Linked DNA regions of Caenorhabditis elegans. The protein of the gene in region 3 interacts with the protein of the main gene of each other region in a biochemical or structural test. Each region holds a gene or a part of one and is shown on either strand. Other genes may lie near its edges.

Region 1 (11,312 bases), on a different chromosome or scaffold from region 3:
AATCGTAGGCATTAATGTTATTTTCAATGTGGAAATCATAGCATTTAACGTATTTTACAAGCAATTAATTCAAATTAGATTCAACATTTTTTTCATTTTTACATTTTTTTTTTGAGAAATTTGACCAAAAAATTTATTTTTCGTCCGAACTTGTTTAAATCAGGGCTGTCATATTGAGCGTCCAGTCGTCCGGTTTTTAGAATTTCATTAGGTATACGACCGGACGCTCGATATTCCAGCCCTAGTTTAAATGTGTTGAGTTAATAAATTCGAGGATTTGAGTATTGCAATGTTTCATATAAAGATTCAGGGAGATTGGCTCGGTCACGTGGCCTGGGTGGACACTAGCGACAGAGCGGCGTTGCCGCGGACCGTGACCTGCAACTGCCACCCACACTACGGACAACTCGGGCCGAAACTGCACACCCCAACATTATGCATATATTTTGATTTTCTTTATTATTCCAAACCAAGATCCGGGACTCTTGTGTGTTTATAGTCCGCGGGCTTATTTAGGCAAAGGAACTCCTGCCGAAAGTGAGAATTTTGACACAATCTTGCCGAAAGTAGACAGACTCCTGCCAACTCTAAGTAGTAACTAAGTCGCCAACGCTCAGCAGTATTTCCCTGAGTATAGTCCGCGGGCCTACTATAGAAAAATATACAATCCCAGAAAAACTATAGTATTTAAAAAAAAGCTAAGCATTTTAGTAAAACATCGAAATATGAAAAACGTGTGGGAAAAGTTAGTGAAATAGTATGTATTTTCCTTTTTTTTTGTTGGAAAATTTCAGAAAATAGCAGTCAGGCTCACTTACCATCGAATTTTTCGCATTTTTCCTTACAAATTGTCCTTGAGTACATGATAAGATATCTCTTACAATCCCTAATAACCAATTTCCCTTCTGGGTGTCTTTTCCGGATTGCTCGGCTCAAAATTGATCCGAAAACGCAAAAGAGCAGGAAAATTATGGAACATTTGCCTATGTTCATTCTGGAAAAAAAACAACAATTTTTCTATGAATTGAATTGTGAAAAATACAATATTATTTTTTTCAAAAAAAAAAAAGTTTAAGAACAAAAAAATTTGAAAACTAATTTCAGGCCGTTCCAGGCCGAATTTCAGGCCGTTTAAAAAATTAAAAAAGCAAAACATTGAAACAATTTCGAACAGTCACAAATTGATAAAACATGCCAATACTCTGCACAAATTCATATCAGTTAGAAGAACTATAACACATAGTTTTTATGGCTAAATGAAATAAATAGATCGAAGGTTAATAATTCTATTACAGAAAAAATACGATCGCACAAAAATAAACAACGACGCAACGACACTCCGCTGTTTTTAAGCCCCGCCCACGATTTCATTTGCACTGCGACCGCCACATTTCAGTGCAAATGAAATCGTGGGCGGGGCTTAAAAACAGCGGAGTGTCGTTGCGTCGTTGTTTATTTTTGTGCGATCGTATTTTTTCTATAATATTCTGAGTGTAAGGAATTCATGACCGACCTTTGCTGCATGGCCTAGAAAATTCGGGAAAACTCGGCCATTGATTTTTGTCTCGTGAGAGGCGTTCAAAACTGATAATTCTAGTCAATCTGTTGAGGAAAATTCAAACTTCAATTTTTCAATGTGTTTTAAATTTATTAGCGAGAAATTTAAATTTTACAAAATCTTGGCGCTAATTTTAAATAGAATTTTTCAAAAATTTCAGCGCGGAATTCAAATTTTGAGGGAAATTAAACATTTTGGCGGAATAATTAAAATGTTAAATTCCATGATTTTTGCGAAAAATTTGAATTTTCGAAAAAAAAAATTGGTGCGAAATTTAAATTATGTGTATTTTTTTCAAAAATTTAGGCGCGAATTCAAATTTTAGTAATTTTTCCAAAAATTTTAAATATTTCAGCGGGAAATTCGAATTTTCAAAACAAAAAATTTGGCGCGAACTTCAAATTATTTTTAATATTTTAGCGGGAAATTCAAATTTTAGTTATTTTTCCAAAAATTCAGGCGCGAAATTAGAATTTATTGTGCGATTCTGAAATATGCTGAAACCAAAAACGAAAAAACAAAACTTCAAAATACATTAAGCAAAAAAAAATCAATGGGAAAATGTCATCATAGGTAATACAAAAAAATAATTTTTTGGGAGTTTTCCAGAAAAACGGGCGGCTTTGAACAATGAGAATTTGGAGCAAGAAATTGGTGGAAAAAATCGGCGGTAAAAATCGGAAAAATCAATAATTTATCGTTAAAATCAATAAAAATCAACGTCGACTATGCCGATCCCTGTCCCCCCGATCCCTCCGACGTTCCGAACTTCTCGACCGTTTTCGACGGCGATCCCGTTCCGAAGATCGGCTTCTCGATCGGTGATTATGTCGTGATGAAGATTGCTCTTTTTCACGACTTTTCGATCGTTTTTTGCTCTTTTTACTCGATTTTCTCTCCTTCTCATCGTCTCTCATCTCTCGTTCTCTCTTCTTTTCCGACGACGATTTTTCCGATTTTTTATTATCGCCGTTTTTTGAATCTGAAAATTTGAATATTATTTCCGGAATTTTGTGTGTAGATTGTGTAGTTCTATGTAGTCTAGAGAATGACTACAAACTACAAAATCACATCAGCCTCAATCAAGGTTCAAACTACAAACTACAGACTTTTTGAAAGGAAATTTCTAAATATTTAGCCGAAGACTACAAACTACAAAATCAGCTTAGCCTAACCCAAAATAGTAAAATCCCAATATTTTGACTACAAACTACACGTTTGCGAGTGAAAATTTCAAAAATTCACACTTTTCATTTGTATTCTTTAAAAAATGAGTAAAATATGAAGAAATCTAGGTTGAGGCTGGGAAATATGTGTAGTTTGTAGCCTCAACCAATTCAAAAATTGGTTGAGGCTCACAGACTACAAACTACAAAATTAGAAAAAAAAAATTTTTTGGATTTTTATTTGGATTTTCAGAGATTTTATTGAAAAAAGAAAAGAATTTTTGAAATTTTTTAGATAAAAAGTGAGATTTTCCCGAAAAATCTCTGCTAAAGTGAAGAAAACTTGTAGTTTGTAGTCTCCGGCCTCAACTATTTCAAAAATTGGTTGAGGCTCACAGACTACAAACTACAAAATGAGCAAAGCCTCACCAAATGTTCAGGAATGTTCAGATTTTTTTTTGGATTTAAAAAATAGATTTTTCGAGTTCTAGAAGCGGTTTTAACTGAATTTTCAAAATTTTTCAGATTTTCCGAAAATTTCTGAATTTTTAATCCAAAAAAAGTGGAATTCCAGTGGGTTTTTTGGAATAAAATATTATTTTTTTTGGCTGAAAATTGGCGCTCCGAGACTACAAACTACAAAACCATTCTGTCCCAAAAATCCAAAATCCCAAATGTCCCAAAATCCCAAAAAATTTCAGTTCAAATTTGGCGGAAAAAAGTGAAAATTGTGAAGAAAACTTGTAGTTTGTAGTCTCCAGCGCGCCTCAATTATTTCAAAAATTGGTTGAGGCTGAGACTACAAACTACAAAATAACATAGCCTCACACAAATATTGAAAAAACATTTTTTTTTTGCAGATTTTCCTGAAATTTTTGAATTTTTAATTCAAAAAAGTGGATTTCCAGTAGGTTTTTGAAGTTTTTTGGCTGAAAATTCGCGCTTTAATAGACTACAAACTACAGAAAAACACATTTTTGACGCTAAAATCGGGGAAAAAATTAGCAAAAATGGTATTTTTTTCAACAAAAAGTGAATATATTTTTATATTTTTCATTAGTTTACCTTACCTGGAACGTGTAAATCATCAACACCTTCACCATCATCATTAACTGATGGTTTGACATCATCTGTCTTAACACTAAACTTTCGAGGGATACCCACGGGAGCCTTGAACTCTCCACCACCAGCTTCTGGTGTTCCTGCTTCTGCTGCCCCTGATGCTCCATTTAGCTCCGCCGAGCCACTGCTCTCCTGCCGTGGCTCCATGTCGTCGCCAACTCCATCGTCACTGCTGTTGTCACTATCCTCACCGTCTCCTGGAAAATTTGAAAAATTTGAATTTTTTGAAATAAAATTTCAAAAAATATGACATTTTAGCTCTAAAAAACGTTTTTTTTTTTAACTGAAAACTCAACTTTTTTTTTGCAAAAAAAGGCTTTTTTTATTTGAATTTTAGTTTTACAATTTTCGAGAAATTGAAAATTCACATTTTATGGAATTTTTAATCGAAAAAATTGAAATTTTTAAACTAAAAATTCTTTTTTGGTACATTGTTCGAAAATCGTTTTTTATAACGAATATTTAATTAAAAAAGCTTCTGAAAACCGATTTTTTCCAAAAAAAAAAAATGTTTTTTTGAAAACTTTTTCTGAAAAATTTGAATTTTTAGGAAAAAGAAGAGCTTTTCAGGAACTTTTTGAACACAATTTTTATATAAAATTAAAATTTTCTGGAAATCTAAATTTTCGCTATTTTTTTTTGAAAAATTCGATTTAAAAATCAAAAATTTTACTTTTTTTTTCGGAAAATCTCAAATTTTTCAACCAGAAAATTCGATTTGTTTCAAAATTGTAACTGTTTTAAATTTAAAAAAAATATGGAAAATTCGAAAATTTTAGAAAAAAGTTTTTAAAAAATGTGAAACTTTTGAAGACAATGTTGAAAATTTTCGTTTTTCGAATTTTTTAAATCAATTTTTAAAAAACTTTTTGAAATTTTAGCTCAAAAAACTCGATAAAATCGAATTTTTTTTGTTTAAAAAAATTTCGTCGAAAAATTGGAACAATTTATGAATTTTTTATGAAAAATTATACGATTTTCATAGCTTTTTGGAAGAAAATTTCAAAAATGTTAAAGTTTTCGGTTTTTTTTAAATTAAAAACTTGGAAAAAACTTTTAAAACCGAATTTTCTGGTCAAAAAAATTGTTTTTTCCGAATTTCGAATTTTCGCGAGCTTCTCCATACCAAAAGCCGCGAGAGCCGCCAACGCTGAGCTGTTGCCGATGATTTTCGGCGCAGTTGCCAATTTTTTCCGTTCAAATTGAAGTTTTTCGTGCTCACGGAGCTCTTCTTGTATTATACGCATGATGACGTCATTCGAAGACTCGAGGAGCACGTTCATCATTAGAGTTTTCACACAGCGTATCTGGAAAAAAAATTTCGAAAATTTTTTTTTTGAAATTTTTAAGAGGTTTTTCTCCACTTAATGGACCTTTTTTAATTTTTAATTCAATTTTTTTTTTTCAAAAGTTCTGTAGTTTGTAGTCTAACAGCCTCCAAAAACGCGAGCCTCAACCAATAGATTTTTTGAAATTTTATCAAAAATTCGGTTTTTATTGCATTTTTAAAGGTTTTGACTGAAAAATTCTGAAAATCTTGGGAAGATTTTAAGGTTTGTTTTCGAAATTTTTGTAGTTTGTAGTCTAGCGGGCATCAAAATTATAAAATTTTTGAAACAAAAAAATTTTTTTTACCCGAATTTCAAAACTTTTTAGAAAATTTTTTAAAAAATCTTGAAAAAATTGAATTTTTGAAAATTTAAATTTCTGTGAGGCTGTCTTAAAAATTGTAGTTTGTAGTCTGAGCCTCGACCAATTTTTGAATTGGTTGAGACTACAAACTACAAATTGTCATATAGCCTCAACAATGTTTTTTTTGTAAATTTTATCAAAAACTGGGTTTTTTATTGGAATTTTTATGGTTTACGCTGAAAAATTGAGAAAACCTAGGGAAAATTGTTTTTTTTTTTTAAATTCATGTAGTTTGTAGTCTAGCTGGCATCAAAAACGCCAATGTCTACTAAAATGTCTAAAATTTTAAACTTTTTTGAATTAAAAATGAAAAAAAAAACGATTTTTTTGCCGAAATTCAAAAGTTGTATTGAAAAATTTATTTTTTTTTCAAAATTTAATTTTGGTGAGGCTACCCGAAAATTGTAGTTTGTAGTGTGTGAGTCTCAACCAAAATATTGGTTGAGGCTGAGAGGCTACAAACTACAAATTGTCATAGCCTCAACCAATAGATTTTTTGAAATTTTATCAAAAACTCGGTGTTTTATAGGAATTATTTTTAGGATTTAGGAGTTACACTGGAAAATTCAGAAAATCTTGGGAAAATACAATTTAAAAAAAAAAATTTCTGTAGTTTGTAGTCTAGCCGGCTAAAATTTTCAAATTTTCAACATTTTTTTGAAATAAAAGTAAAAAAAGAAACGATTTTTCCTCGAAATACAAAAATTTCATTGTAAAATTGATTTTTTTGTTCAAAATATAATTTTGGTGAGGCTACCCGAAAATTGTAGTTTGTAGTGTCTGAGCATGAGCCTGAACCAACAAAAATTGATCAAATTTCGTCGGTTTTTTCTCGATTTTTTTAGCAATTTTCTCTAAAAATTCAGAAAATCTTCGACAAATTTTTGGTTTTTTCTCAAAATTTTTTGTAGTTTGTAGTGTGTGAGCCTCAACCAAAAATATTGGTTGAGGCTGAGAGACTATAAACTACAAAGCTGGATTTTTTTTTTCAAAAAATTGGTTTTTTTTCTCAAATTTTGAAAAATTTCCTCTAAAAATTTAGAATATCTTCGTTTTTTCTCAAATTTTTTGTAGTTTTTAGGTTTTTTTTTGCGGAAATTTCAGGAATTTAGAATTTCCCGTACAAATTGCTCTCGTCTCTCCTCCAAATCGTCTTCCGAATCATTATCATCTTCCTGATATTCAGATTTTCCATTACCAACAGGAAATTTCTCATTTTCCGGGCTCTCTTCATCCGACGAAGAGTCAAATTTGCTCTTTCCAGCTTCGGCTCTTCGCCGGGCTTTTTCTTCTTCCGCTTTCTTCAGCTTTTCCTCTTTTTCCCACTGCTTTTGCTTCTCCCGTTCGGCCTTTTCAAGGCCTTCCAGGATCCAGGCCGGCAGTTTTTTCCGGGCCTCTTTGTTCATTGCATACGGGTTTGTGGGCCCTGAAGCCATTAGTGGAGCCGGTGGAGGCACACCTTTCGGGCCAGCTTGGGCCGGGGGTTCCGGGGAATTTTGGTAGTTTTCGGGCTGGAAATCGGGCTGGAAATCGGGCTGCTGAAAATCGTGCTGGACCGAGGGGCTCTCCTGGAAAAAGTGCAGCTGCGGTGGTGGACGTTGAGGTGCTCCGAAGAAGCTTGGAGCACTTGAAGCCGCCGCAAAAAGTGGCTTAGGCTTTTGGGCCGACGGGAATAGGCTTTTCGGTGGTGGTGCCGCTGGAGCCTGAGGTCTTGGAGGCCCTGGGTAGTGCTCTGGAGGTCTATGTGGGCCTGGGGGGCCTGGAAAGTGCGGCCTTGGTGGCCCTGGCGGAAAATGTTGTGGTGGGCCTTGGAAATGATGTCCAGGCGGTCCAAAGTGTCCGTGGTGAGCTGGTGGAGGAGCTCCACGCCACGTGTCTGCTCCCTGTGGCGGTGGTGGTGGATATCCACGAGGCGGGCCTTGATTATGATATACGGGGGGCCCGGACGGCCCAGAAGGCCCAGGCGGCCCTCTCCACTGCTCGTCCCGATTCGCGGACCAATCGCCCCAATCCTGATGAGCCGGAGGGCCCGGATGACGTGGCTGATGCCACGGGAGCTGATGATTTTGAGCGAAATCGTGTGAATTTCCGGCTCGACGATCGTCTGTGTCGCGCATCGCCATCCATTGTTGGGCCAGCTGGGCCCAGTCGACTGGAAAATAGACGAAAATTAATTTTTAAATAAATTTAAAAAAATTTCGCGAAAATCTCGAAAAAAATCGATTTTTTCGTGTTTTTTTGCCAAATTTTTCGATTTTAAATTCAATTTTTCAATAAAATCACAACGCCATACCACTTTCCGCCGGCTGTGCCTGATGATAGTTGGTCCAATCTTCCATTTCCCTCGTTTTGTGATTTTCTGCAGGAAATATCGATCTTATTGGTTTTTTTTGGGAGGAAAAAGGTGGAAACTAGCATTTTTTAACAAAAATTCGAAATTTTCAGCTAGATTTTCTATTTAAAAGCTTTAAAAATGCGCTGAAAATATTCTAAAATAGAATTAAATCGAAAAAATGTCGATGGCCGTTCCTTTACACGAAACCTAGTCCACGGCCACGCGGCCACCGAATTTTATTGACGGCGGCTTTCTGTGTGATTTTCAGATACTTGAACGTGTTTTTTTGTTTGTAATGTGAAGAAAATGAATCGATATATTTAATTTTTGGAGAAAAGTGATTTTAAATTCCAGAATTCCTGCCGAAATCCGACGTTTTCCAATTTCGTGTAGAAACCCATTCGAGGGAACACAGCATGCGCCTTTAATGGCTACGGTAGGTTAATTTAATTTAATTTAATTTAATTTTTAGCAGCAATTTTCAACGATAATAGTTGTTTTTTGAATAATTTAAATTTAAATTTGCTTTTTTTTCAGATGACAGAAAGAAAACAGGATTTTTCCTGTCCAAACTACATGCTTTTCGGCGATGACTTCAATTTACAAAGTGGAATAGAGGTTTTTCCCCGAAAATTTCTGCAAAATCACTTTTTTTTTCCAATTTTTCAGGATATTTCCTGTTCCTCAAACTACACATCAGACGAAGATGGACCAAAAGTGCTCACTACAATGAGAAATATGTTTGCGGAGCAGAAAACCGACGAATATGAGCTGGTCTACGACAATAATTCGCAAAATGTGCCTCAAAATTGTTCACCGAAAAATCAATATTCGCCCCCGCAATCTGTGCAACAAGCTCATTATTCGAATTTATCACATTTTCATCCTAGAAATCCAGAATTTTCACAAGAAATCGTGGAAAATCGAGTAATTTCTCCAAAATCTGAGCATCCGGAAGAAATAGAGGATCACGAAGATGATGAGGATGGCCAAAGTGAAATGGTACTGATAAAAAACCCCGATTCTAACAATTTTTGCCCTGAAAACATGAAAAATCATCAAATTTCAGCCAATAGGACGAAAATTCGTTTGGTTGAGGCTCACAGACTACAAACTACAAACCGCAATCATTTTAAATAGGATTTTATTCAATTTTCGCTTAAAAATTAATTTATACTATTAAAAAACCTAATTTTCAGTTGAAAATCGTATTAAAAAATTCGTTGAGGCTAAAAAAATTGTAGTTTGTAGTCTGTTAGCCTCACCCAAAACATTTTCGACCAAAAAAAAAACGGTTTTCCCCAATTTTTTGTATAAAAATGAGTAAAAACGGCTATTTCATGATATTTATTAACTTTTTACGATAATAACCTTCAATTTTTACGAAAAAAATTGGTTGAGGCTAGAAAAATTGTAGTTTGTAGTCTGTTAGCCTCACCCAAAACATTTTCGACCAAAAAACTGATTTTTCTGCAATTTTTTTATATGAAAATGACTAAAAACTGCAATGTATTAAGCTTATAACTCACTTTTTCAATCCTAAAACACCAAAAACTAACGCAAAACTGGTTGAGGCTAAGAAAATTGTAGTTTGTAGTCCCTGAGCCTCACCCAAAACTATTTTCGGCCGAAAAAACCGATTTTCTCCCGATTTTTCTTATAAAAATGACTAAAAACTACAATTTCATGGATTTCGCCCAACAATTTCGAATTTTCAGAAGCACAATTGCCCGGAATGCCCGAAAAAGTACACATCGGAACGACGTCTCAAGCATCATATCGTTGTACACCGCAATCCGGACGCCTATAAATGTCAAAAATGTGGATATTGCTATCAGAGCCCAGATAGTCTCCGGAGACACTGGAAGGTAGCAAAAAAATCGAATTTTCACTGAAAATTTGACAAAAAATTAATTTTTTTTTGTTGCAGAAAACTCCGAATTGTGACGAGTTTCCGCCGAAGATTAATGTGAAAACAGAGATTTTGGACCCGGATTCATGAATTTTTAAAATTTTTTTTGATTGTTATATTGTAAATTACATTTTTTTACTGTGTACTATTTCTGACACTAACTCGATTTCCCAGTGGCCTTATTCATACGCTCATTTCATTGATTTTCTCGGTGCATATTTAAATTTTTATTCAGTTTTTGATTGACAAAATTCATTTTAATTGCAATTTATATTGATTTTTCAACGATTTTCTCAGTTTTTTCCTCAAAAATTGCCCATTTTTATGCGAATACCTTCATTTTTTTTTCACCCAAAATGTGTAGTTTGTAGTGTGTGAGCCGCAACCAAAATATTGGTTGAGGCTGAGAGGCTATAAACTACAAACTGACACCGCCTCAACCAAGTTTTTTTGTTGAATTTTGAAGCTAAAATCTTTTTTCAGAGTTTTTTGTGAAAATTTTAACAAAAAAAAAAACAAAAATTCATTTGAAAATTAAAAAATGTGAAAAATTTCACGAAAAACCAAAAAAAATCCCGTTTTTAATCAGAAATCATGAATATTTTCAGATTTTTCGGATAAAAATAACAAAGTCTGTAATTTTCAACCAAAAAATGTTAATATCAGTTTTTTAGCGGAAATTATAAAAAAGATCACTTTAAAAAAATGGAAATTACGTATTTTTCCATTAAAAAGTCCGAAAACTAGCGATTTTCCAGTCGAAAAATCAAAAATTGCCTATTTTCTGCTGTGAAATACATGAAATTCGCATTAAAATTAAAAAAAAAAAACCTCCAAAAACTGATTTTTCCCTCAAAAGTCCCAAAAAATTTGGTTGAGGCTATGACATTTTGTAGTTTGTAGCCGAGGCACGCACACTACAAACTACAAAATTTTAATAATTTTTTTTCAGCATTTCCATCACAGCTTGAGTCTGCCCGTAAAAATCGTGTAAGAAACAAAATGTAAGTTTGTTGAGGCTCACAGACTACAAACTACAAAATTTTTTGTTTTTTTTTTTCAGGAATCCACGTGGAAATCCGTCGAAAATGCCGACTCAAATTGTGTTAAACAGACGTCCAGCAGCACCAGCAAGACCTCAAACAGTAGGATTTTGAAACGAAGAGACTACAAACTACAAACTACACAATTTTCAGACATTCACCTCACTGTCCCAATATCACATGTACAATACGGCGAGCACATCATCGGCTCCACCGCCACCACCAAATCGTACGTGCCCGGAAAAAAATAATTTTCTAAAAAAAAATTTTTTTTTAGAAAATTTCGGTCAAATTCGAGAAGCTATCCGAACAACTCAGCCGACAACTGTTCAACTTCCGCCGGACTGCAAAGTACTGTAGTTTACAGCTGTTTTTAGGACATTTGGACGACGTTTAAGGCCTTGAAACGGCTCATTTGACCGAGATTTTCCAAAAAAATTTGAATTTTTCGACCGAAAACTCGCTTTGAAGCTCGAAAATATTT
Region 2 (8,602 bases), on a different chromosome or scaffold from region 3:
GTTAATGAGTGAATTTACGAGAATTCATTTGTGGGTTTACGTTTTTGTCGATTTCTTAATTTAAAACATGGAAATTAAAAACATTGCGGAGTACGGTACACATCGGTGTTTGCGTACCTTTGCGTATCGTGCATTTAATTCGACGACATTTGTATATTTTTAAATGCAAAAATCAACGAAAAAGTTCTTTTTTAGCACAAAAACAGAGCTTTTGAAGCACCAAAAAAATTATTAAACAATACAGATGACATATGCTCCTAGAAAATACCAGAATGAAGGTGTTTTTGAGGAAAAAAATTTAGGCCAAAAATTTTTTTTTAACAGTATTTTCGAGGAATCAGAGAAGTTCCAGATTTTCCAGCAAGTTGAATTTGTAGAAGACTTAAGAATACTTCCGAAAAAAGTAGCTCTCCAAAAGTATTTTAGGCCAACGGAAGGTTCAAATTCACAACAAAAGTTAATGTGGAATAGATTTATTGAAGAAACTGAACAATAGGAACAGAAAATAACTTAATGACTTATTTTGTAGTAGTTCCAATCTTTATGAACACATTTTCAAGTACTAGATATCTTCCAATCGAGAGAAGCTCTAGTTGTCATACAGCTCGACTGATTTCATATATTCCTTGAGAACGCGCGCACCTCTCGCCCTTTTGGTGCAGTGGTTAAGCGCACGGTCTTCAGATACAGTCATTGCTGGTTCAAATCTGGATAGGTTCAGTTTTCTTTTACGTCGTCAAGTGTCCTGATATAAGCTTTCAATGTGTTTTTTGGATCACGAAATTCTCGTGAGAGCTCTTGTCAGCATAAGCGCAGGTCAGCATAAGCATATTCAAAACGTCAGCATAAGCATATTTCAAAGGTGTCACCATAGGATAGTTGGCAATGAGATTGTGCAATAAAATGTGTATAACTGAAATGTTGTTGGCGATAGTGTCAAAAACATTTGGTTTTTTAGGTTTCAATAATTTTTTTCGATTTATGAAAAAAAAATCCAAAAGGTACCCCTTACAAAAATTTTCTAAATTTTTTTTTGAAAACTTTTTAAAATTTGATCAGATGTTATAGAAAAATGCAAAGTTTGTAGTTGATCTAGTTTAGATGTTCTGAACACGATTTCAGACAGAAACCTGAGGTATAGTAGAACCTCAAAATTCAAAATACGCACTCACTTCGGATGTTGATATCTCCGTGGGAAAATTTTTTAAGACAAGGTAATAAATAATAATAATAAACTACAAAGTTGTATATCTCAATCTGAAGTACAACTTTGTAGTTGATTGTTTTTCATTAAAAAATTTGTTGGTTGAGATATGAACAGAAAAAGAAGAAGAAAATACAATCATGAAGGTGCCGAACTTTACACAACTTTATCTCGACCAAATGTATGTGTGACTGATATGAAAACATGTGCATACTCCTGTCTATAAATATTCAATCAATTCTCACCGATGTCCCCTTTGAACAGGTATCCCATTGGAACCTGTGTATGTTTGTACAGATGCCCCCTCTGAACGGATGCCCCCTCTGAACGGATGCCCCATTTGAACGGATGCCCCCTACTTGATAAAATAAAATAAAATGAAAAATTGATAAAAATTTGTGAATTCACGGCAAAATGAAAAAAAGAGGAGGCGGGCACGTTTCAGGCAGGCGTCGGGTCCTGAAACCGCGCCTGCCTACCATGGAAGTCCTATTTTCGACATTCTAGGCAACTTTTGTCAGTCATTGGTTTAGTTTTCGACAACTTGCGGTAACTTTTGGAAAATTTTGGCATTTTTTCTCCAATTCTCGTCATTTTCAGTTTTGCCAGATTTCGGTAAACTTTCTGAAATTTTAAAATGTTTTTTGACAATTTTGAGGCTCACTTCAGTGTTGCCAACTTCCTTCTCGTCAATTTTCAAATTTTTTTTACAAATTTTCGACAACTTCCTACAATTTTCTGCAACTTTCTGCAATCTTCTACAATTTTCTACAATTTTCTACAATTTACGGCAACCGAACTCGGCAACCATCCAACCCAGCACATGCCCTACCCACCAGAGGCTCCAAAAACCTAAAAGGACACTAAATTAGTATTCAAATTGGTCTTGACACACTACCTCCCCCTCCCTTTTCCTTCTTACACTTTTATGCAACAATATTCCATTTTTATCCTCTCCCCTTATTTTTTCTCTAATTCTCTCCAGTTTCGCCTCACACTCACCCAGCACCCTCCAATTTTCCCGCCCCGTGGTATCGTTTTCATTTTCTCATCACTGAGAAGAGAAAGGAAGGACCACACCCTCTTCAACATCATCAATTTCTTCGTATTTCTTCAGACGTATACTTCTAATTGTGGAGGGTCCTCCCGAGCGGAAAATTTCAATGCTAGCAGTTTCGTTGAAGCAGAGAAATTTTTGAAAAATTCAAAAATTCAAAAAAAAATTGTCGTTTCTTTTTTCCAAATCAAAAATGTTTGGTATTTTTGAATAGAACATCAAATTCTAAACATTTTTGTTTTTTACCGCATTTCTATATCTCACGGCGTTCTATTGTAGATGGGAGAGAGCGTGGGAGACGCAGACGACGAGACACTCTGCGTCTCCCCTTCCTCCACGCTCTCTAGGTCCCCATCTCAAGCCCCGTATCTCGAGAACGGTGATAGCTATTAAAAAGTTGTCAACTGATAGATAAATGTGTAAAATTTTGAGAAGAATAATTTTTGGGTTAGAAAATTTTTTAAAGGATTATTGTTGATGGAACTTTTTTTTTCAAAAAGTTCTAATCAGCAAAACAACGTAAAAATACACTTTTCACCTTAAATGTTTCTGCAATAAATATTAAATCTCTTCAATCCCCAGATTTTCCTACTTTTCCTGCGTCTCTCCAATCTCTTCTGGTTCAATGCCAAAAGCTCAACTACTCGACGCACTCCCTAAAAGAGAGTTTGAGAAAGACAATGGAGACGCAGAGAAAAGCTCTTTTCGGACTCTCACCACCCCTTTTTCTCTATCTTTTTGCCAAAAACGTAGTACTATGGACCACCGAAATTGAAGGGGGGAGAGACCTTTGCGCAAGTCGTTTTATTTTTTCTCTTTTTTTTGCTTTTGTTTTATTAATAGGCGTTTACAGTGTGGAGAGTGGGTGAGGAGGCAGAGAAGACAGTCTCGTTGTCTGCGTCTCTCTGCTGTATATATGTATCTGGAACGGTTAGAGCTTAGAAAATAGAGTAACAGAGAAAAAAGATCAGAATGTTGAAAAATCCCAATATACTTTTTTTTCTTTTTTCAAAAAAACCCCTGTCCTCCAATAAATCGTAACGTTTGCAATTTTCCGTTCCATTTGTCATCATTGAACATTGAAAGAAACACAAAAAAAACGCACTGAGCGTACTGTTTTCGTCTTTTCTATCCCTTTTCCCCGACACTTTTCTCTCAATTCCCTACAATTTTTGTGTCTTGGCGTCAGAGTCAAGAGTTTTGCCTTTTTTTTAAAGTTTTCTAGTATGGAAAATTTAAGAAAACATATGTAAGATTGCTGAATAATAATTTAAAAAAATCGAAAAAAATGTTTTTCGAATAGAAAACCAAATTTCTCACTTTACTATCTTTAACCGTTCCAGAGATACACGCATTTTAGAGCATAGTGCGGTGAGAGCGTGGTGGAGGGTGAGACGCAGTCGACGAGACAACCTGCGTCTCCCCCTCCTCCACACACTTTGCACTCCTCAACTTTGAACCCCTATATCTCTAGAATGGTAATAGCTACCAAAAAGGTTCCAACAGACAAAATGTGCGAAATTTTGTGCTTAACAGTTTGTTAGTTAAAATGTTTTTGTTAGCCGTTTTAGTTTTGAAGTTATACTCAGTTTTCTGAGGCGGTACCGAAACTTTTCTGGATTTTTCCGTACAAATTAAGAATAAACATATTCTGTTAATTGGGGAAATTATTATTCAAAAATTTAACCAAGACTCCGCCACTACAGTCCCCCTCCCCTCTCCTCTGTTTTCTTCATGCTTATCCGCGCGCAATCCGCCTCCCCTTCCTTTCTCTAACTCCTCTTACTCTCTCATTCCTTCTCCCTGTTTGTCAAACCATCTAGGTCTCTTCTTCGTCTCTTTATCTCTCGGCTCTCTTGCTTTTTGGCTCTTTCTCTCCTCTCCGCGCACCCCGCGCATACATTGACTTACACAAGACATTTGCTGCTTCCGGCCGGACTTTTTGAACGATTTTTTTTGGTTTTTGGGTTATTGATAGTGGAAAATTTGTATTCTGAAATTAGGAGTGAAAAGTTTAGCGGGAAATTTGAGTATATTTTGAGAATAAATTTCGAAAAATAAAAATTGAAAGTTGTTTTTTTTTCAAAATTTCCAAATTTAACCAATATTTCCTCATATTGTTTTAATATAATTTTTCTCCTAACTTTTTTCTCTTCTCCTCAATTCTCAAAAACTTCAAAATTTCAGTCAAAAACTGGATCGAGGCGGCGGCGGGTGGTACGGTAACGGCTTGGACGCCGAGTGGTCCTACAACGAACACGTACCCGGACCATCAAACTACCCGGAGCAGTACAATATGGCACCTGGTGAGTTTTTAGAAGATTGCAAATTTTTGCAAATTAAACAAATTTCGCTCAAAAAAAATTTTTTTTGATTTTTTTTTCGCCAGAAAAGCATGAATATCTCAAAAACTGAAAACTCTATTAAAAAATTTATGACTAACTAATTGTAGATCACAAAATTTCACACAGTTTGTTAGTTGATAACTTTCTCATATCTCCAAAACTCGCAGAGTTATGCCAATTTTTGCAAAGCTTGTTAAAATTCCAAATTTCAGTGTGCTCCAATGTTTAACCGAGGAGGTTTTTGCTAAAAATGTGCAATCTCTTGAAAAAAAAAGTGTGTTGATAAAAATTTGGAAAGAACATTTCAAATTTCCCGCCAATCGCAAAATGTAAGGGCGCTCTAATGCAAAAAGAGTTGAAGCGTTTCGTTAAATTTGGCACAACCTTTTTGAAAAATTCTACAACAAGTGCGCTCCAAAAAGAATTTTCCAATTTTTCGTTTCAGGTCCCGCACCATACAGCAGCCGAACATCGGTGATGAATTCCAGTGGCCGAAACCCGATGAATTATCCATCAGTCCCACCCCATACATCCATATCCGCCGCGTCGAGGCGCCCACTGCAACGGTGAGTAGCTTTTTTAGGGATAAACTGAGGAAAATTTAAGACCAAGCACAAATTTTCTGTCTCCCAACGGGCCTACAGCCTGCCCCTCGAAGACCAACTACTCTCGAGGCCTACCTAAGAACCATCCAATTCCAGGCAACACCGCTCGATGGACGGCCTTGGTGTCCTGGACGCCTACAAAGACTCCCTAGACTACGATATGATGCTCCAGCCGTCTCCACCGAAACCTCTACATCAGCCATCATACCTTCCATTGGAGATATCCACAAGTCAACATCACCATCCACCACATCACCACCCAACACAGTTCCAGCGTGGGCAATCGCTGGCGTTATCGAATCCGATTCCCACGCAGAATGCGTTCTGGCAGCATAATAATAGGTTAGTTAGGGGTGCCGGGTATTCGGGGAGGTCGACAGCTTCTAAAGTCGCCGGGTTGTCGGTAAGGCTGCCTGGTAGACAAAAAGTAGTCAGTGTGCTTGTCATTAGGGATGCCAGGATCCTAAGAGCCTTTAGTGTTGTCTAATTTGTATTGGTTGCCCATCAGAAGCCAGTGGCGTTGTCAATTTCCTGACTTGGTTGCCGCCTAAACTAGATCCCAGTTTCTATAGTGCTTGTCGGACAGGACCCTGCCGTCTTCTAAATCATCCATTAGGGCTTTTACCTTTCTTCCTATACCGTTTCTTCCTCCCCCTCCAGTTAACACACCACAAACGACACAAATCTACGGCTCCAAGACCCCACCCTAACCTAATTTAATTTGCGGGGGGGGGGGGGGTGGTGCTGGTGGACCCTCCGAAAACCAACATTTTTTAGTTTTTGTTCTTTCAGTTGAATTTCCTCCAATTTTTAAAGAATTTGCGGGTTTTTGCTGCTCCTCATCTCTCATGGGAGTATAATATGCATGTATATATATATATTTTTTTGCACACATTGACTGCTGCTGACGTTCTCTTCCGAAAAAAAATTGGGGGCTCAAAACAGATGAATTTTAAGTGGGGTGGGGGAGCTCTGGAGATTCAAATAATATTATGTAATTTTACTTTGAACTGTTATATCGTCGAGGAGGTTAGAGGTACAAAAAAATTTTCCACTAACAAATTATGCTGTTTTTAATTTTGAGCATTTTGTTAGTTGACAAAAACTCGTATCGTTAAAGGCAATAAAGTTAGATCCGAAACAGCCTCTGCCTTTTCACTTGCCTTGCCTACCTGGGATGATACGATGGTCTTCAATCCCTCTTATCTCCTAGGTAAGAATAGATACAAAAATGTAGTCAACATGGAAACTGTGCAGTTTTTAATTTTGAGCATGTTTCCAGTTTACAACAAATTTTTATGTTTTTTTAAATGTTTAATAGCTAAAAAGTTATAGCGTTTGAAGGGCAACACCCAGGGCCAGAGCATCGGTAGAAACTTGTGTAATATTACACGCGGAAGACTTTTTTCCTCAATTTTCCAATATTTCAGCATGGCCACCACATCAGTCCAAGACTACGACCTAATGCAACCAGGCATATCCCGAATCCCCACCGGCACTGGAAGTGGCCTGAACATCGCGAGAGAGTACGAGCAGCTGAAAGTCGAATACGACACAATGATGGAGAAGCTAAATCAGACTATGAATAGTATCAAAACGTTTTGGAGTCCCGAGTTAAAGGTAATAGAGCTACCGTAGTGTATGATTAGCTATGTGAAATTGTTCCAGAGGGAGAGGCAAATGCGGCGTGATGAAGCCACTCGGATAGCGCAGCTGGAGAGGATGGTTCAGTCGGGAGGAGGTGGCGGTAATGACTACGGCCTAGGTTCTAGCGAAGGTAATTTAGGTGTTTTTTTTAAAATAAGCTTCAAAGCCTGCAATTAAATTAAGTTAATTTAAACGCTTGTTAACCCCAAGCGGATGACAAGTTAAAACAAAAGGGTCCCAGGAGTTCAATGTTTCTGAAAAGGTCAAGATCTTGGTTCGAATGAAACCAACACCTTAGAAGCAGAACAACGCCCTTAAGATCCTAAAAACATAAAATCCTCTGCTACCAGGGTCATGGACTTTTTAGGCTACCGTCAAGTAAGCCTTGGCTGTGCTTTACCCCTTACCGATTAAATCTGTAAGGCTCTAGGGTACCCATGTTTTTGTAGGTTTCCTTATGGTTAGGGCCACCTGGCCTAGGAATCTCTTACACAGTCTTCATTCTTTCAGCGCTACAACTCCGAATGGAACTCCGAGAACGCGACGAACGCATTCGCCAACTCACCACAGCTTTAGAATCCGGCTCCGGTGGCATGGACGGACGGATTCGAGAGCTAGAGGATACTATTATGAGGCTTCAGGATCTTCTAACAACCAAGGAGACGCAATCTATGATGGCAAGTCAGGATCCATCAGGCCGGCAAGCTATCGAAAACGCGCTTCGGAGGATCGATGAAAAGCAGGCGAGGATCGTGGAGTTGGAGGAGGAACTGATGAGGCAGCGGATGGGAAGGAGTAATCAGCCAAGAGATTTTACTGATAAGAACCTGTCCGGTCATGAGATGGCGACGATGCGCATGAAAATGGATCGAAGTGAGGTGGAGCTCGCGGAGAAGAAGCAGGAGCTCTTCGGGTGTCAGACAAGAATGCAGACCGCTGAGGAGACTGCGAATGAGATGAGAGGTCATCTTCAGTTGTTGAAGGATCAGCTGACAAATCGAGAGCAACATAACACTTTGCTACAGGGTGATGTGGATGCGTTAAGGCAGAAGCTGGATAGTAAGAATAAGCAGTTGGAGCAGAAAGACGAGCGTGTGGCTGCACTGGAGAGAGATCTAAGTTCCAGCAAGGCTGATGTGTCGGATAAGGGCGAGTTGATCAGGCAGACCGAGATGAAAACTTCTCAATTGATCGGCAGAGTTGACAGCCTTGAAACAACAGTTCGGGAAAAGGAGCAAGAACTCGATCGGGCTAAGATCCGCCTGCTAAGCCACCCGGATGTGGTGAAGGAGAAGGAGATGACCGAGAAAATTGAGCAAGGAGAACGAGAGAGACAGCGGCTCGCCGAGCACATTGATCAAGTGCGGAGAAATGCGGAGAAGGATGCGATGGAGCAACAGAAGACCTATCAGAATGAGATGACACAGTTGAAGGCGACCATTGAGAACTTGCAGAAGGAGTTGTCGGATAGGGATATACTTCTGGAGTCGCAAAATGAGAAGATTGGAGATATGAATCGGGATCTTGTGCAAGCAAAGAAGCGGTGAGTTTTCTGTGAAATTTTCAGAAAATTTGGTTAGCAGGGAGCCGAGTTATGTGCTTTTGAAGTTTTAGGTCGAACCGCGACGCGACTGCAACGCGTTGATTTTTTCGAAGTATTTGTTTCCCATCTAAAAATTGACAGAAAACATGCACGTCATCTTTGAGCCAAGTTAACAACGTGGCTATAAAATTTGAAGATCTA
Region 3 (11,637 bases):
CGTAACTGTGTATGAATTTTGAAGATGAAGTAGTGTCAGTGGGAAAAATTGCTTAAAACAACTTATGTGATGCAAATTACCAAATATCATTCAAAAAATTTTTTTACAATTTTTTAAAAAACTTTTATTGACCTACAAAAATGGGCAACCCTACAATGTTTGAATATCAGTGTTTGCAGCATAAATAGAGATCATAATTCAAAGAGATTTTTTGATGGAAGACATTTAAAAAAGTGGCTAAGCCGAAATTTTCCCAATTACTCAACAAATCATAACAAACTTAGAATTTTTAAATAATTTTTAAACTAAATTTTTAGTCATTGTGTCACCATAAGTGAGTTTGACTGGCTCTACTCCCCCTTTAATATGAAATGTAGACTGTGAAAAAACACACACACAATTTTGTAGTCATTTTTTTACGTTCAACATTATATAGTTGTTAACAGATATAAAACATTTGGATGTGATTGAATAAACTCAATACAAGACGCTATTTTGCTTGACTGACTTTGAATTATAGAGTATTTTTCACGATCCAGTTAAAATTCAATACTTTTCAGATATTGTACATACTATCTGAACTCCTGATTTCAATTTCGCCAAGTTCCTCACAAATGACACTAAACATGATAAGTTTCATTCCACGCAAGCCATAGTTAGACAACTGTTGTTCGGAATAGTTAAACCTTTATTTATCGAAAAAAAAACGAAAACCTCGGTTACCTACATGTTCCTGTTATCTATGAACACTCACACGCACAGACCCAGCTATAAACACTCTCATTGCAAGAACTATGAACAAGTGGCGTATCGCTCGGTTCTCTTTCTGTTTCTTTCTTTTGCAACGTCATCTTCAGTAATTACGACGATGTGTATGTGTGTATGGGCTAACCGATTCAACAGACGAATGCATGCGCACATCTTCTTCGGCTTTGCTAGCAGAGAGAAAATACTTAGCAAACTCGTCACCAAATTTTAATAAAGTTTCTGGTTTTTTTAATCAGCAAATTGAATCTTATTTTTAATGATAGAATTTCACCCAATATGCTTGCAAACTTTTGAGTGGCATTGAATTTCGACAAATGTCTTAATTGTTTAAAAAAAACTGGTTTAAAAAAGAAGCAACTTCCCTATTTAAATTTTTATTTTAAGAAATCAAAATTAATTGCTAGATTTGCATAGCATCATTGAAATGGTTTCTTAAAAACAATTCAAACGAGTGGCATTGCACAAAAATACTTCCCAAAACATCGTACTGCTTCACTTCGAACTTTGCACCTGCATAAACATCGTAACAGCAAACTCGAAGACATATTTATGTAATTTCTCACAAAATATTAGCGAGGAATCTACTAAATAAATTTTTAAAAAATTTGTCTAACACATAATTCTATTGGCAATTGATTATTACTTTTCAAGGTGCAACATGTTTCACAGCAAACTACTTTGCTAACAAGATATGTGAAATTATTTGCGATCGGAAGCTCTAAATTTATGCAGCTGCGTGCCATAGTGGCTGTCGCCAGTCAACTACTACTACCTCAGGATATTCATCCATCTGTTGAAGGCAGGTGGTCCCCCTCTTTTACTTTCTCTCCGAATATTCATACTCTTTTTCTCCGGGTTTTCTCACTAGTTCCGACCTTGCTCGCACTCGTTCGTCCATGAAAGCATTGATGTTCGGTGACTTTGAAAACTTTATGCAAATCTCAGGAATGTTGGGGTTTTGAGGGGGACGCCAAACGGAACAAAATAGGAAAATCGTAGGGATAGGGGACGTGAAGGCACTTGTTATTTTCATTGCCACTTCCACAAATTGAACGCTTGTTCTTACTCTTGCCTTGTTAGATCCCTCGTCTTTTTTTTTCGATTTCTATCAATCTGTATAACGTTTTACTACTTTACTATTATACTATTTTACGTTCAGAAAATGACTCAGAAATGACGAGTTTATACAACAATCGTGTTGTTAAACTTTTTTCTGCTTCAGTGTTTTGTTCCCCTTTTTTATGCTACTATCACAGAAAACCAAAAAAAAAAACGGAGTTTTAGGAAAAAACATTAAAAGTCTAAAAGTTGGAATCGAAGAAGTGTTCTTGTTTGTCAGTCTTCATTGTCAGTCGATCTTTGAAATTTGAAATAAACTTCCCTGTAAAACCCAATTGAATATATTTTGAGCACTCGTTCTAAATAATTGCTGCATATACTTGGAAGTAGAAAACGTATTCAATTTACAAATGGTTAATATATCACTATGAGTTTAGTGAGAGTAACTTGACTTATATTTAAAATGTTTAGAAATTCTCCGGATGCCCTAATATTAAACGAGAGACTTGCCCAGCTTCGTTCAAGTTTAATTCAGGTTCATCGGTGTCTAAAAAGTTATTGTAAGAAAATTGAGTTAAATCTTTGTTATCATATTCATTGCAATAGGATATAATATAAGTTATCTAAGTTCTGGAATTTTTTCTATAGCCATACAATTTGGAAAGTTTCATACAGTTTCGAAACATTTTCTCACGTTCAACCGTACTATTTCAGGACGTTCAGAATTTTGCCATATCTGTCTCTCTAATATTCTCTTGTCATCTCTATTTCTCTATTATCTTTTATCCTTTACTCCTTTCTCTGTTTCTGTACTTCTCCGAATTGTCAATTCTATCTTGCACTCTCATGTAGGAACCAATTGACGAAGAAATAGCGGGAGGCAGTCAGGGAGGGGACGGAAGGGGGTTTTCTCCCGCGCGCGTAGCCAAACGGCCGATAGATGTGTGACCCTGTGTTCTCTGGCTCTGGCCTGTCTCATCTTTCGTTTGCACCCATTCTCTAATGCCCTAGCATCGATTCGGGCCCACGTCCGGCCACAACGAAGAGGACGAAAAGGAGAAAGAAGGGGGAAGAATACGAAGGGCGAGCACTACTGACCGTTGTGTGTAATTCGGAGCTCTTTCTCTTTATCGGCCTGTGTCTATTGTCTCTTTTTCTTTCCCTCTCTTTTTCCATCTTCTCAACTCTTTTGCTTGGCGAGTTGGTTGTTGCAGTCATATTACTTATAACACACACACAAGAGGAAGAAACGAAAAAAGTAGAGAGAAAGAGAGAGGAAAGAGAAATAAAAACACTTTCAACGGAACTAACTTACTTTTTAGTTCTTTCGTAGTTCTTTCTTAGTTTAGTGTCAACCGTTTTAATTATTTTGTCTTTCAGCTTCACAAAATTATTGCTATAAAAATTATTGTAGGTTATTCACTTTCTGCAAGGTATGACAAATTACTCAACAAGGGCAAGCTGATTCACTTCTTTACATTTTTTTCTGGTAAGTGTATTTTATTTTAAATTTGAAAATTGTATAGTCAACGTTCAGATATTTCTATTTCTAGGCGATGTATCCAATTTCTTCTGTTTCTTGCGTTTTTTCTCGCGCTTTTCTAAATATTTTTCTGCATATCTAGACGATTTCAAAATATAACTAAACATTTATTAATGTTTTGTTTTTGATTGAAAATCTGAAATTTAGTTATCAATTTTAATCTGTTTCAGAAATATGAGCTACAGCAATGGAAACATAAATTGTGATATAATGCCGACAATCTCGGAAGATGGAGTGGACAACGGCGGTCCCATTGATGAACCATCGGACCGAGACAACATTGAGCAGGTCTGTATATTGTAAAACCTTAAAACTGAATGTTCTTTAACTTTTTCAGCTGATGATGAACATGTTGGAAGACCGGGACAAATTACAAGAACAGTTGGAAAATTATAAGGTGCAACTGGAAAATGCAGGGCTCCGAACGAAAGAAGTTGAAAAAGAACGAGATATGATGAAGAGACAGTTCGAAGTTCATACGCAAAATTTACCGCAGGAACTTCAAACAATGACGCGGGAATTATGCCTATTAAAAGAGCAGTTATTAGAAAAAGATGAAGAGATTGTCGAGCTCAAAGCAGAACGGAACAATACTCGACTTCTTCTAGAGCACCTAGAATGTTTAGTTTCCCGTCATGAAAGATCACTCCGAATGACGGTCATGAAGGTATGTCTTTTGATTTATTATTGTTCCCCATTCTATTTGATGTGCTGTAATATTAAAACTTCCTTTTTCAGAGACAAGCTCAAAACCACGCTGGCGTATCTTCTGAAGTTGAAGTTCTAAAAGCTCTTAAGAGTTTATTCGAGCATCACAAGGCATTGGATGAAAAAGTAATTTTTTGTATTTACTCTGTAGATTTTCTAATGTTTTAATATTCAGGTTCGTGAACGTCTTCGAGTAGCAATGGAGCGTGTGGCGACACTTGAAGAAGAGCTGAGCACAAAAGGAGATGAGAATTCGTCGCTGAAAGCGCGTATTGCCACTTACGCAGCAGAAGCGGAAGAAGCAATGGTAATTATTCATTGAAAAAAATAAGAAAGAAAACAGAAAAACGAGAATACATCACATACCCACAAAAATGTGTTTATCAACAAAAATTTTCAGGCGTCAAATGCACCCATCAATGGTTCAATTAGCAGTGAAAGTGCAAACAGACTTATCGAAATGCAAGAGGCTTTAGAAAGAATGAAAACAGAATTAGCCAACTCACTAAAACAATCAACTGAGATCACAACAAGGTACTATCGTAATAACTTTTCAAAAATTGATGGTGAATATATAAACACCTATAAATTTTTGTGGTCAAATTTTTCGGTTTTTTTTCAAAAAAATGTTTGAAGAATGCGTAAAAATTAACTATAAAAATATATTAAATTACATTTAAAAAATTGTTTTCTTATCTCAATTCAGTAAAAAAAATAGGAAAAAATCATGCTGAAAAGCCTATGAATACTCCCCCAAATTTTTAAATTTTAGAAATGCCGAACTCGAGGATCAATTGACAGAAGATGCTCGTGAAAAACATGCTGCACAGGAATCAATCGTTCGTTTGAAGAATCAAATTTGCGAGGTACTTGTGAAATAATCAATTTGTATCGATATTGTTGCTTTTACCTCAAAATCATTCAATTCAAGCGTATTTACTTATTTTTCCTATGTTTAGCTTGATGCACAACGCACCGATCAAGAAACTCGGATAACAACGTTTGAGTCGCGTTTCCTGACCGCGCAAAGAGAGTCAACGTGTATCCGGGACCTCAATGACAAATTGGAGCATCAGGTCAGTAAAAGACATCGCAATTGCATTAGAAACCTCATTTTCTTTTCAGCTTGCCAATAAAGATGCGGCTGTCAGGTTGAATGAGGAAAAAGTTCATTCACTTCAAGAAAGATTGGAGTTGGCAGAGAAGCAACTTGCACAAAGTCTCAAAAAAGCTGAATCCCTTCCGTCTGTAGAAGCCGAATTACAACAAAGAATGGAAGCACTTACAGCAGCTGAACAGGTGTGTTTTTGTTGTTATGTTTGTTTAAAATGTTTTCCTTTTCAGAAGAGTGTTTCTGCTGAAGAGCGCATCCAAAGGTTGGACCGAAACATTCAAGAGTTGTCTGCAGAGTTGGAAAGGGCTGTGCAAAGAGAACGCATGAACGAAGAGCACAGCCAACGGTTAAGTAGCACTGTGGACAAGGTGAGCATTTTAAAATCATACACAAAAGTGTTAGCAAAACATTTTTCCAGCTTTTATCGGAATCTAATGATCGCCTTCAACTGCATCTCAAAGAACGAATGCAAGCCCTCGATGACAAAAATCGGTTAACACAACAGCTTGATGGAACAAAGAAAATTTATGATCAAGCGGAACGAATCAAAGATCGTCTTCAGCGGGATAATGAATCTCTACGGCAAGAGATTGAAGCTCTTAGGCAACAATTGTACAATGCAAGAACTGCGCAATTCCAGTCAAGGTACAACATAATATAATGCATGGTGAAACCGTAATTTTTTCAGAATGCATGCAATTCCGTTTACACATGCTCAAAACATTGTGCAGCAACAACCACAAGCTTCGATTGCTCAGCAATCTGCATACCAAATGTACAAACAACAACCAGCTCAACAGTATCAAACTGTAGGAATGAGAAGACCAAATAAAGGAAGGATTTCAGCACTCCAGGTGAGATTTGGTTTTGTGACATTTTGTTTCACCATGTTAAAATTGCTATTGGCTACAACAAAAAGAAACCAACCATTGAAAAAAATTTCAGGACGATCCGAACAAAGTTCAAACCCTCAACGAGCAAGAATGGGATCGACTTCAACAAGCGCATGTTCTTGCCAACGTCCAGCAAGCATTTTCCTCATCACCATCACTGGCCGACGTCGGTCAATCGACTCTTCCACGTCCTAACACTGCTGTCCAACACCAGCAAGATGATATGATGAACAGTGGAATGGGAATGCCAAGTGGAATGCAGGGAGGAATGCAAGGTGGAATGGGTGGTGGTCAAGATGCTCAGATGTTGGCATCAATGCTACAAGATCGCTTAGATGCAATAAATACTGAAATAAGGTGGGCTAATTATCGTTTTAAAATCTGATTCTATAATGTATTTTCTTAACTTTATTAATTTTTTATTAATTGTTTTTAACAAGTATATTTTAAGATTGATTCAACAAGAGAAACATCACGCAGAACGGGTGGCTGAACAGTTAGAACGATCAAGTCGGGAATTCTATGATGATCAGGGAATATCTACGAGAAGTTCACCAAGAGCAAGTCCCCAATTAGATAATATGCGACAACATAAGTATAACACTGTAAGTCTTCATTTGTTTGTTTTTTTAATACATTTTTTATATGTATTAAATGTTCTTCAAGAATTTTTCTAAATTATAGCTTCCTGCAAATGTATCCGGTGACCGACGGTATGATATTTACGGCAATCCGCAGTTTGTTGACGACCGCATGGTTAGAGATTTGGACTACGAGCCACGACGAGGGTACAACCAATTTGACGAGGTAAGAGTCATCTCAAGAAGGAAGAAGATGATTAATGACCGGTTCGTTTCTTTTGCAGATGCAATACGAAAGAGATCGAATGAGTCCAGCTTCGTCAGTCGCTTCCTCGACAGATGGCGTTCTTGGCGGAAAGAAGAAAAGATCGAATAGCTCAAGTGGATTGAAAACGCTTGGAAGGTTTTTCAACAAAAAGAAAAATTCATCGAGTGATTTATTCAAGTGATTATTTTATTGAGTTATGAAAACATACAATCATTTTTTAGACGAAATGGAGATTATTCGGATGGCGAGCAGTCGGGCACAGAAGGAAACCAAAAAGCTGATTACGACAGGAGGAAAAAGAAGAAGCATGAACTATTAGAGGAAGCCATGAAAGCACGAACACCGTTTGCTCTTTGGAATGGTCCAACTGTTGTTGCCTGGCTGGAGCTGTGGGTTGGCATGCCAGCGTGGTATGTAGCTGCGTGTAGAGCAAATGTGAAATCCGGTGCAATAATGTCAGCTTTGAGTGATCAAGAAATCCAGAAGGAGATTGGAATCTCAAACCCATTGCACAGGTTGAAATTGCGACTTGCAATTCAGGTACTGAGGCTTTAAAAATTTACTAACCGGCAGTAAGACGGCATTTTGTTTGTATGTTGCAAAAAATGAAAAAAAAACACCAAAATAAATTTATCTTGGTTCGAACCAGGTTCTTTCAACTTGAAAGTTCTCATGGCAAGATTCAGCAAAAATACAGCAACTCTGTAGCCAGGTATTTTTTGTTAAAAATTTGCAATATAAATTAATTGTAATGATCAGTCAATGTGTTCACAGATTCCTTTGATTTTTTCATTACATAAAAAATAATATCCTTAATGTTTTTCTGAAATTTTGAATAATGACAGTTAAACTTTCAAATTGAGCAAACAATTATATACAATACAAGATTATATGTATATGCTTTTTTTCAGGAAATGGTTTCTTTAACGTCACCATCTGCCCCACGAACTGCTCGTCTGACTCTTGCCTTCGGAGATATGAATCATGAATATATTGGAAACGACTGGCTTCCTTGTCTCGGTCTTGCGCAATACCGATCAGCGTTTATGGAATGTCTTCTTGACGCTCGAATGTTAGAACATCTTTCAAAACGTGACCTACGCACGCATCTGCGCATGGTAGACACATTCCATCGTACAAGTCTCCAATACGGAATTATGTGTCTCAAGAAAGTCAACTATGATAAGAAAGTGTTGGCGGATCGGCGAAAGGCGTGTGATAATATCAACACAGGTAATAATTATATTATCTTTACAACAATGCCTTTATGGGTAATACCTTGCAGACTTGCTAGTGTGGTCGAATGAACGAGTTCAGCGATGGGTGGAAGAAATCGGGCTAGGTGTATTTTCAAGAAATTTAGTGGATAGTGGAATACATGGTGCATTAATTGCACTGGATGAAACGTTTGACGCATCCGCTTTTGCATATGCACTCCAGATTGGATCTCAAGACGTTCCTAACAGACAAGTGAGTAGAAGTCATCATAATTCAAGAAACCTTTGGGAAAAATTGAAAATAATACTCAAATATCATTTTATTCCGCAAAAACAATTATTCATATAATCTTATACATTTTTAGCTACTGGAAAAGAAATTCATTGGCTTAGTCAACGATCACCGTCAACAATCCGATCCCCATCCGGTAATGCCATAGTCCGTCGATTAACACGTTTTCTTTTTAAACAATAATCAATTCTTACATTGTTCAATTTTTTGTGCTGCTCTCTTGCTCAACTAGATTTTCCTTGACATTTTGCAGTGCTCCTTTAACTCTTCCCGGTTGCTCAAAACATTTTTAATTCAGATATCTAAAACAACTTTAACCTTCAAAAAATCAGCATTTTCAGTCATAATTCACACTGTTAATTAACGTCTTTTCCACAATACTGGTATGATTTGGTGTGTTTGCTCTAACTTCAGTATTGTTTGATCTCATCGTTTAGTAATGTGCAAAATTTCAATTTTCAGAGAAGTGGAAGTTCTCGTAAGAATGATTCCATAGCAAAATCCTACGAGTTTCATTTATATACCTAGTTAGTTAGTTAAATTAAAATTTTTTCCGCTCCCTCTCACTCGTTCGTGTCTTTCCTGTCATTCGTGCTAGTCTAAACGACCTTATACCGCCTGCTTCTGTAATTTTTTATTGACGATTTCAGTTTTTCGGTATTTTAAGTTTTAATTATTCTCATTATCATATCCATATTTTTTCCATTCTCAAGTTTTTCCCTAAATATCTTTTTAGCACGTTTTTCTTCTGGTAAAAATCAAAAAGATAGAAAGAAAGTGCGCTAATATTCAATTTTTCTACAAAACCAAATACTTTTAACTTATTTCCTTGATTATTAATTATAGTTTTTATCCAATCTCATCATTGTTTTCGATTCTTGGCAAACAACATTCCGTTTACATTGTTTTCTAATAAAAACGTTTCATTTTTTTACAAATGTAGCTTTTTGAACCGGTCCGAAATAGTTTTAGTTTGAAATTTTTTTTTAAATGAGAAGAAACAAAATGTAGAAAGAAAATCAACCGTATAAAATTTGAATCGGGAGTTGGGAAATCATGAGATAGTCAGTGTTCACTAAAATATTCTGATGCATAACCAAATAAATGCTCCAATTGTCATGCTCTGGGCTTCTCTCACTCCATTCATCACAGATAGAATGTCATTCTCATCAATTTCCTTATTTGAAGTATACAATCGGACTGGATTCAACTGATTCGTCGTCTGTAAACATGTTTGCTTTTTGAGCTACTGGTTTGAAAATTTGTTGGATGTAAAGTTAGGACGATGATTTATGGCATGGCTAAAATGAAGTAATACTCAAAAGATAAAATATAACACAAGAAGGCTATAAGGACAACATTTCTTGTTCCTACTAATTCCGTTTTTTGAGTAACGGCATTTTGAACCCAACCAAACAAGGGTAGCATTTTTTTACATACGAACATTTTTATATTTTATGATAGGGGTTTGACTAAAGACACAATTTGTTAAGTCATACATAATTAACTGTTTTTGACTATTCAAAACGTTGAAAGAAATGCATTGGTGAGTAAAAAATCAAAGAGAATTTAACTGACCTGCTTTACCCCCGGAATCGCAGCTTTCGGGCGTGGGTCATCTGTTCCGCGAACCAAGTGGTGAAAATTGCACAAATGACTGTCGCATATACAATGCTTTGCAAGAACTTCCGAACTGTTCCCCTGCGTTTCAACTGTGCAACCGATTTGCACTTTCTGTAAAGAAATTTACAATTGAGAATTTCTTTGTATTTTTCTTTATTGAATGTTTAGAAGAACTGATTTTGCCGAAACAATTGATGAGCTTGAAATCAGTTAATTGAAGTAAAACAGATCTACTTGGACACGGTGTAAAGATTCATACTTTATGCTTAAATATATTCTTCTCATTTCCTGATATTAAAAAATGTTCTAAAATTACTGTTGTTATAAACGCTTACATCATTGCCGTTAACTTTGACACATCCTGCTTGAAGTTCAAATCTTGGCCTGGCAGCGCCCACAAATTCGTCATGATCTTCATAATTATGTTTAAAATCAGCACTTTCTAAAACAATTTCAGATGTTGTAAGAGATATGAAGCAATAGTGTCCTTCACATGTTGATGATCTACAACAAATGTTTAAAAACATTATTTTTAAATGAAAAATAAATTTAAAACACTACTTTTTAAATACTTCCTGTCCGAATGGTTTGTATCCTTTGTGCATCAAAGCGTAACAGTAATGTAAATTTTCATGCTTTCTCTCAATCACATGTTTTTTCTAAAAAAAACCATTAATGTTTTAAATGACCTCAAGAATATATTTAACCTGGTAATTGAAGGTTTTGTTAAACTCGTTACACAAGCCAGATGGGTGTGTGCACACGCAACCATTCATCACATTGGAGGCGCTGGATTCATATCTAAATAAGGTTGTTGTGTTTTTTCAAGCTATCATGGATTATGTGACGCTGAGGGGATTTTGTCGTAAAGCCCACCTGGTGCACAAATAATCTCCTTCATAGTCGAGATAATCATCGACACGCAAGAAAGACGGCAGTCGTGGATATCCCAACCCGCATCCCTAATACAACATATGTTAACTCGTTCAGTTGTTTAGCAATTCAAACCTGCTCTTTTCCATCAAAATCCACAACACAATAGTTCCCTCGACAATTTGTAGAGCATCCCGAATCGCAATCTTCACCATGACGGGAAGTGCAATGACAGCATTCGACGGATGGAAGGCGCGACGGAATGTAGCTACCCAACTGCAAATTCAATTAGTTTGGTCCCATTTTCTGTCGAAAAGTTCCAAAAGACACACTGAATGTTCTTAATTAACTTGGAAAAAAGAGCGCAAATTGACGTTTTTTCGGAAAATGAAATATGTAGAAGCTTTACCGTAATTGGTTGAATTTTTTAAATCTTGTAGTTTCAAGTAAATTCAACATATGTAAATATTCGAACAAAACGTATTTTTCAGTTCCACGCTAATTGATAATTAAAATGACTACATTATTATACTATACCAAGTTTTTTTTCAATAAACGTTTCGTTTTTATTAGAGTCACATCCAAAAGCGAAAAATTTACAACGTGTTCCAACTTTACACCTATATACACCAAATGTAGTAATTGGTGCATACCAGCGCTGTTAGGCAACCGAGGTTTTTTGCAACCGGCAATTGACG

Evidence for each region.
Region 1: of the proteins of syd-2 (region 3) and rsy-1, one has a biochemical effect on the other in vitro, tested with the Caenorhabditis elegans proteins (one study listed by BioGRID).
Region 2: of the proteins of syd-2 (region 3) and elks-1, one has a biochemical effect on the other in vitro, tested with the Caenorhabditis elegans proteins (one study listed by BioGRID).

What each region holds. Positions count from the first base shown.
Region 1 is NC_003279.8:11,214,099-11,225,410, forward strand, and holds rsy-1 (Arginine/serine-rich protein PNISR), read right to left. Parts: upstream 7,898-11,312; 5' UTR 7,878-7,897; coding exon 7,832-7,877; intron 7,691-7,831; coding exon 6,663-7,690; intron 5,154-6,662; coding exon 4,973-5,153; intron 4,044-4,972; coding exon 3,795-4,043; intron 2,541-3,794; coding exon 2,275-2,540; 3' UTR 2,079-2,274; downstream 1-2,078. Other genes in the region: ins-36 (INSulin related), read right to left, coding at 819-993; Y53H1A.7 (Ubiquitin-like domain-containing protein), read left to right, coding at 311-499; Y53H1A.2 (C2H2-type domain-containing protein), read left to right, coding at 8,301-8,309, 8,411-8,491, 8,543-8,875, 9,592-9,741, 9,804-9,875; Nuclear transcription factor Y subunit nfya-2, read left to right, coding at 10,788-10,789, 10,849-10,930, 10,982-11,057, 11,106-11,179.
Region 2 is NC_003282.8:3,345,874-3,354,475, reverse strand, and holds the start of elks-1 (ELKS/RAB6-interacting/CAST family member 2), read left to right. Parts: upstream 1-4,448; 5' UTR 4,449-4,557; coding exon 4,558-4,567; intron 4,568-5,051; coding exon 5,052-5,172; intron 5,173-5,307; coding exon 5,308-5,553; intron 5,554-6,641; coding exon 6,642-6,831; intron 6,832-6,879; coding exon 6,880-6,988; intron 6,989-7,368; coding exon 7,369-8,401; intron 8,402-8,602.
Region 3 is NC_003284.9:10,546,844-10,558,480, reverse strand, and holds syd-2 (Liprin-alpha), read left to right. Parts: upstream 1-3,241; 5' UTR 3,242-3,316; intron 3,317-3,540; 5' UTR 3,541-3,544; coding exon 3,545-3,658; intron 3,659-3,707; coding exon 3,708-4,037; intron 4,038-4,108; coding exon 4,109-4,204; intron 4,205-4,253; coding exon 4,254-4,385; intron 4,386-4,478; coding exon 4,479-4,612; intron 4,613-4,850; coding exon 4,851-4,944; intron 4,945-5,037; coding exon 5,038-5,154; intron 5,155-5,203; coding exon 5,204-5,377; intron 5,378-5,422; coding exon 5,423-5,560; intron 5,561-5,610; coding exon 5,611-5,837; intron 5,838-5,880; coding exon 5,881-6,046; intron 6,047-6,137; coding exon 6,138-6,442; intron 6,443-6,536; coding exon 6,537-6,690; intron 6,691-6,769; coding exon 6,770-6,892; intron 6,893-6,950; coding exon 6,951-7,111; intron 7,112-7,155; coding exon 7,156-7,474; intron 7,475-7,845; coding exon 7,846-8,167; intron 8,168-8,219; coding exon 8,220-8,404; intron 8,405-8,516; and 5 more. Other genes in the region: F59F5.5 (uncharacterized protein), read right to left, coding at 9,519-9,665, 10,022-10,177, 10,402-10,570, 10,628-10,725, 10,774-10,867, 10,943-11,028, 11,075-11,215. UniProt on the Caenorhabditis elegans protein: May play a role in regulating the structure of the neuronal region, called the active zone, from which synaptic vesicles send neurotransmitter signals across the synapse. This may be in association with the liprin-beta protein hlb-1.